Macaca mulatta: one gene and its partner. Each later gene encodes a partner of the first gene's protein in a complex. Links are inferred from orthologs where the notes say so. Each region holds a gene or a part of one and is shown in the gene's direction. Other genes may lie near its edges.

What was found. Proteins that work in one complex are often made in the same cells at the same time.
Region 2: the proteins of SPINDOC (region 1) and SPIN1 are in contact, whole or in part, in a crystal structure (PDB 7CNA), measured with the Homo sapiens proteins. The link is inferred for Macaca mulatta from reciprocal best matches to the Homo sapiens genes SPINDOC and SPIN1. Residues at the interface, in NP_612480.1 of Homo sapiens: Phe256, Ala258, Pro259, Ala260, Val262, His264, Phe265, Thr266, Asp267, Ser269, Phe270, Pro271, Gly273, Phe274, Val275, Leu276, Gln277, Leu278, Phe279, Ser280; in NP_006708.2 of Homo sapiens: Met154, Thr169, Tyr170, Glu171, Pro174, Pro206, Val209, Val210, Leu213, Lys216, Gln217, Val218, Glu219, Tyr220, Thr229, Val232, Val242, Tyr243, Ile245, Phe247, Asp249, Asp250, Tyr254, Val255, Tyr256, Asp257, Leu258, Val259, Lys260, Thr261.

Annotation. Positions count from the first base shown.
Region 1 is NC_133419.1:10,603,059-10,607,202, reverse strand, and holds the start of SPINDOC (spindlin interactor and repressor of chromatin-binding protein), read left to right. Parts: upstream 1-1,302; 5' UTR 1,303-1,605; coding exon 1,606-1,732; intron 1,733-4,144. UniProt on the Homo sapiens protein: Chromatin protein that stabilizes SPIN1 and enhances its association with histone H3 trimethylated at both 'Lys-4' and 'Lys-9' (H3K4me3K9me3).
Region 2 is NC_133420.1:119,101,317-119,103,808, forward strand, and holds part of SPIN1 (spindlin-1), read left to right. Parts: intron 1-542; coding exon 543-742; 3' UTR 743-2,492. UniProt on the Homo sapiens protein: Chromatin reader that specifically recognizes and binds histone H3 both trimethylated at 'Lys-4' and 'Lys-9' (H3K4me3K9me3) and is involved in piRNA-mediated retrotransposon silencing during spermatogenesis.

The DNA of each region.
Region 1 (4,144 bases):
TGTAGCAAACTGTAGAGGATGACTATTCAGTAGAAATAAACAGGCTTGGTAAAACCTCTATTGTAAAACCTTTAAAATACCGGATACACTTGCACACAACAAAATAATTCCCTTAAAAATAGACAGCAAGGCCGGCCGCGGTGGCTCAGGCCTGTAATCCCACTTTGACCGAGGCGGGCGGATCAGGAGGTCAAGAGATCGAGACCATCCTGGTCAACATGGTGAAACCCCGTCTCTACTAAAAATACAAAAATTAGCCGGGCGTGGTTGCACGTACCTGCAGTCCCAGCTACCCGGGAGGCAGAGGCAGGAGAATCGCTTGAATCCGGGAGGCGGAGGTTGTGGTGAGCCAAGATGGCGCCACTGCACTCCAACCTGGTGACAGAGGGAGATTCTGTCTCAAAATAATAATAATAAAAAAAATTGACTGCAATCCATATAGACTAGTTCACACCTCTTCTCATACCCCCATCCTACTACGCGATTCTGAATACTACTGTGTCTGGTTTGATATAACGACATTTGAAGATGTTTTTTCAGTGTCAGACATTTTGCATTTTCTGAGCTGAAATCTCATGAGGGTTGCTATAGAAGAGGGAGATGCACATTCCATGTCACAGAAGTAAAAGCTCACCCAGAGTGTGGTTATAGGGAAGCAATGTCATGGCAACTGGACTCTGGTCTTGGGGCTCTCAAGGGATTGCTGTATGTCCTTGGAGAGGGTCACAAAATCTCTGGACTCACGTGTAAAAAATGGAAATCATACCCATCTGGGTGGTTTATGTCCGCTCACAGTCCACTCCGCTCCTCTTCTTTGCCTTCCCAGAAAGGTCCGAAATGCTTTTTGAAAGAAACGATGAGCCGGTCTAATAAAACAGATAATGTGCCCATGGCCACAGAGCCGGCACATGAGAAGGAATTCGTCTCTACGCTTCCATACCAAGGCCCTTTCCACTCCCCCACCGCTTCTCTTCCTGCCCGGGGCATCTGCTGGCGGAGGAAGGCTTGTCCACGGAAAGGCAAAAGCGACTCCGGATCAAAATCCGGGGGCACCTGGTAGCGCTCTCCACGCCAGCAGAAACGCCCAACTGACTTCTGAACGGAGGGAAACCCCCGGGCTTGGCCAGTCGACTAAGACGTCCGCGGTGCGGGTTTTGGGGGCCCCTCTGCCTCCGCGCACTGGGCGGCCCCGGGTCCGCTCGGCCCTTCCCGCCGCCTCCTGGGTCGAGGGATTCCAACGGGGCCGCGTGCCCGGGGCGGGGCCACGCGCGATTGGTCGCGCGGGATCGGGGGCGGGTCCGCGGCTGGCCGGCCGGGCGGGCGCCGACAATGAGCCTCCATAAAAGGGAGCGGCGGGGGGCAGGGGCCCCGGATTGAGCCCTCCCCGCCCGGGCTCCCGACGCGCCGAGGTCTCGGGGAGGCCCGGACGCGCCGGTCGCAGCGCCGGCCGGCGAGCGGCAGGCGGGCAGGTGGCGGGGAGGGGGCTGCGCGGAGCGGGCAGCGGGCCCGGCGTTGTTCCGGCCAGGAGGCGGGAGGCGGTTGCCGGCTACGCGGCGAAGCCTGCGCGCCAGTTCTCCGGCCACCGCTATCGCCCACGGCCGCACCATGGCCCTAAAGGCCGAGGGCGCCGCACTCGACTGCTTCGAGGTGACGCTCAAATGCGAGGAAGGGGAGGACGAGGAGGAGGCCATGGTGGTGGCCGTAATTCCGCGGCCCGAGCCGATGCTCAGAGGTGAGGATGGAGGGGATCCCACTTCCGCGTCACGGTGCGGGGCCGGGGCCGTCCCTCCCCAGTCGGGTCCGCGACCCGGGCACCTTCTCATCCCCTTCATCCTGGGGCCCAGGCTTCCCTCTCGGATCTGGGTCCAGGACGCGCTCTTGCACCTCCCCCACCATGGTTTGGAAGCTCAGGCCTCCCCGATTTTCCCCTCCCTCCCCCTTTCCCCCGCCCAGGGTCTGGAGACTTCGATCCACGCCCCGCACGCTCCGGATCTTCCGGTGCCCAGGCGCCCCCTCTCCCGGGCCCAGCACCGGAGGCCGGATCCCCAGAGGCGCTGGGTGGTTGAGGCCGCCGTCTCACGCAAGCACAACGGCCGGGCTGTGTTCTAGGCCGAGGGGCGGCGAAGCCTATAGGCCCGAGGCTACAGGCGGGCGCCGCTGCCGACCTCCAGGAGAATTTTAAGGACTCCCCGAGCATGACTTTCCTGCCCACCACCCCGCTTCATCCCCATTCCCGGGCCTTCCACTTGCAGGAGCCACAGGTGTCAGGTTCTGGAGAGAAGGGATGAATGGGACTGCATACAACAGCTAGTTTGGAAAAGCAGTGCAGTGCTAGAATGAGATTAGCTTTGGGAGGGGATGGGAAGAACAGTCTGAGAACACTCGCTCTCCCCTCCCCCTTCGCCGATTTCTAGTCCTCAGGAACTTGCAAACCATAAGAAAACAAAGAGCCATCTTTGTGGGAGACTTAATATGCATGAAAATGCAAATATCTTTCCATTCTCCCACCCGCCTTTTCTTTGGGGGGACAGTACCCAGAAGAGGTTGAGAGCAGCAAGGCCATTCATTGAACCTCAGCCGAACAGAATGATGTCTGTCTGCACTGCCTCTCATCCTTTTTGGAACTGGAAGGGTTATAAAATTCATGAGGGAAATAAAGGTCACCTCCCTTCTCGGAGCATGTAGTCCAAAAGACAGGTTGTTTTCCTACTTCTGCTAATATTTGCTGAGTGTTCACTGGGCATTGTCAGAGGCTGTCTCAGTTAATCCTCTCAACCCTGCAAGGGTGGCCTTACCCCCACTGTTAGGGTGGGAATAGACAGGTGAATTCATTCAACCAATATTCACTGGACGTCTACTTTAGGCTGTTTAGGCTAGTGTTTTTAGGCTGGGAAGTAGTAGCAGTAAACAGAGCAGCTGAAACCTTACTCTTGAAGAACATATATATACCAATGGCTAAAGACAGAGAAATAGGTTCATGTATAGTATGTTGGGTGGCAATAAATGGTTCAGAGATCACTGAAGCAGGACAAGGAGAAAGGGGGAATGGGTGTTTAATTGGATATATCGAGTGGTTCAGAAAGTGTTCTCTAATAAGGTGAATTTTGAGCACAGACCCAAAGGAAGTGAGGATGCCAACCTTGCAGGTATCTGCAGGAAGAGCATTTCAGGCCGAATAGCAAGTGCAAAGGTCCGGCAGCACAAGCTGCTGGAAAGATTTCAGTGGAGAGTGGAAGAAAGATTGAATTCAAGGTTTTTGGCCTGAGCAACTGGAGGAACAGCCTTCCCATTTTCTGAGATGGGGAAGGCTGCGGTGCTCATGGGAAACTGGGAATGAAAGTTTGAATATAATTAAGTTTGAGATGCCTATTTATGACATATTCAAGTGGAGAGGTCAACTAAGCAGTCAGATACATGAGCCTAGATTTCCTGGGAGTATCTGGCTAGTGGCGTAAACGGAAATTGCCAGCAGGCAGACAGTGGGATGAGAGGGAAGTAGAGAAGTGTGTAAGAACTGAGTCCTGGGAAACTCCAGTGATGGCAGGTTGGAAACCGAGTCAGTCCCTCATCACACATTACTAAATGTCACTGCATGCCGGGAGATACAGATACAGATGCCAGAGATACGGATGTAAAACATCAGAAATCTGTGTGGTCATGGATTCTCTTTTTTTTTTTTTTTTTTTTTTTTTGAGATGGAGTTTCTCTCTTTTTGCTCAAGCTGGAGTGCAATGGCACAATCTCGGCTCACCACAACCTCTACCTCCCGGGTTCAAGTGATTCTCCTGCGTCAGCCTCCCGAGTAACTGGGATTACAGTCATGCGCTACCACACCCAGCTAATTTTGTATTTTTAGTAGAGATGGGGTTTCTCCCTGTGGCTCAGGCTGGTCTCGAACTTGCAACCTCAGGTGATCCGCCTGCCTCGGCCTCCCAAAGTGCTGGGATTCAGGTGTGAGCCACCGCGCCTGGCCATGGTCATGGATTCTATGGTGTGGTGAGGAGACAAGCAGTGAACATCCCAAAAACAAGTATGAGGTGGTGATGTGTGCTGTGTTGGAGATGATCCATAAGGGGAATGGGGTGCTCTGGTGAGGGGAGATGGTTCTTCAGCAACAACACAGAGGAAGAGAGGGAATATTGAG
Region 2 (2,492 bases), on another chromosome or scaffold:
GTGAAGTTGAGGGAGAAGAGGCTTTAAGGATTCAGAGTAAACCAATGGTACTTAGGCATTTTAAATATGTGCCATATTCTCAGTAATCCCTGTAGGAATTGTCTGCTTTCAAATTATATTTCAAAGCCACTCAAACTTATTTTCATTTAATTACAGCTACAGATTAAATATGGACCAAATGAATTTTTGGTTATGATTTTTAAAATTGTTCATATATCTAGATGGGGGTCGGCAAACTATGATAAAAGGTTTTATTGGAACACAGCCACATCTGTTTATATGCATATCATCAGTGGCTGCTTTCGTGCTGCAGTGGCAGAGTTCAGCAGTTGGGACAGAGACCATATGCCCGTAAGCCTGAAATATTTACTGCCTTGTCTTTTACGAAAATGTTTGCTGACTCCTGGTCTAGATAATCATGAATTCAGGGTATTAAAAAAAAATTTTTTTTAAGTTATGAAAATAAATATGAGTTGATTTATATCTAAAAATTGTTTTAGAAATTTTCTCTCTCTCTCTCTCTTTTTTTTTTTTAAATATAGATGATTCACCTCCAGCAGAAAGGGAACCAGGAGAAGTTGTGGACAGCCTGGTAGGCAAACAAGTGGAATATGCCAAAGAAGATGGCTCCAAAAGGACTGGCATGGTCATTCATCAAGTAGAAGCCAAGCCCTCCGTCTATTTCATCAAGTTTGATGATGATTTCCATATTTATGTCTACGATTTGGTGAAAACATCCTAGATGTCATCACAAACTGCCAAATTTGTGGAACTATGAAATGTATTATTTGTAGACATAAAGACTTGATTGCTTTCCAGTTTAATGAAAGCTTAAATGTCCCTGCGAACCCACAATCTCTGCCAGCAGAACTGGTTTTGTTCTGAATAGTACAGATTGATGTGAACACAAAGCATTTTGTGTAAGGAGAACCCCTTTCTTTTAAAAGAAGTCTGTCTATTTGGAGGGGAGTTACAGGCAAGTTTGGTAAAAGTTAAGCTAGTATCATAGTCATTTAAAATTGTAATAGATCTTAACCATTTTCCCCCTCACCTTAACCCTCTTATTCTGCCGCCACAATGCAAGCATAGTTTGATGTTTTCGTTATTGCCTTTTTTGAGATATATGTATCTGTATCTACCTATATCTATATGTGTGTATACATATATAATATATACACACAGATACATGTGTACACACACACACACACACACACCCCACACACACCCCATACTCCCCACACACCCCACTGGCAGTCTTTTCTTTGTGGATTATTAGTATGGGGGTGACATAATTTTCTTGAGTTTAACAGGAGTGCTTTACCCAAGTCAGTCATGGTTATGATATTACTGCTCTTTATTTCAAATTAAACTTTGGGCACAGGAAGCATATGGGAACATTTCAGCTTGTTTCAAAAAATCAGAAGTTCAGAGCACCTTTTCAATCTGGAGCCCTTAAACCATAAGTCCAAATATGAATTACTTGTGAACAGTTAATGACTCATTAGAATTTTACAATCTGGTGAAGAATCTGGGTAAAAGGCTACCTTTAATTCTAAGCTTTGAATTTTTTTTGTTGTTGTTGTTACATTTTAATCATAAATTCTTTTTAGCAAAGCCCAGGTCCTTGTTCCACACAGTGTAATGTAGGTGTATTTTGGACAGCACATGTGGTACATTGTGTACAAATCGGTAATCTGGATTTCAGTACATGAATTTAAAAGGCAACAATACATGACTGGTTTGCGTGTTTTTGGTAAGTTTCTGGAAGAATACTGTGCTTTTATATTGGAAGTGTAAGTTTTGAGTGGCATTGTTGCCTTCTAACAAGCTCTCTGGGACTTTTAAATTTTTATTACTATTATTGCTAATGTATAATTATGGTCAGAAACTTTCAACCCACCCCTTTCCCCTACCCCCTGGCTTTTCCTCACAAAGAATGTCTAGACAAATAGCAGCTTAGTCTCCTGACACCTTGTGGGGTGCATGTTCCTGCTCCAGGTGTGCTGTTAATGTGGATTCATTCCATTCAGTGGCCCCTTGGGGTTTGCATGTCAGTGATGCGTTACCATAGAAGAAAGCCAGCCGTTTGTGTTCGCTTGGTGGGTGTAAGTAATAGCAGCCCTTAGCCACGGAGTCTTTATGTGGTTAATTCCTGCAAGGTTGTTTTAAACTGAAATAGAACTGCTAGTGTGATTGGTTGATCAGCAAAACAGCTGCTCTCACTTTGTTTTGGAGGAACCCTGGTGGTTTGATAACCAGGAGAAAGGCCATATGTGAAACCAGTCTCTTGTGGAGATTGGAAATCCTCCCTGATATTTGGGCAGAGCCTAAACGTGCATGCTTATCACTCAAACACCAAAAGTTTGAATCAGAGGTCCGAGTGACCTCTTTTGTGGCTGTTCTTGATGGTTTCCAGGCCTCGTTATGCATGGTTTGCTTGATGCCCATTTTTTGTGCCTTGTGCTGTTGGATGGTAACGACCACTCACCATG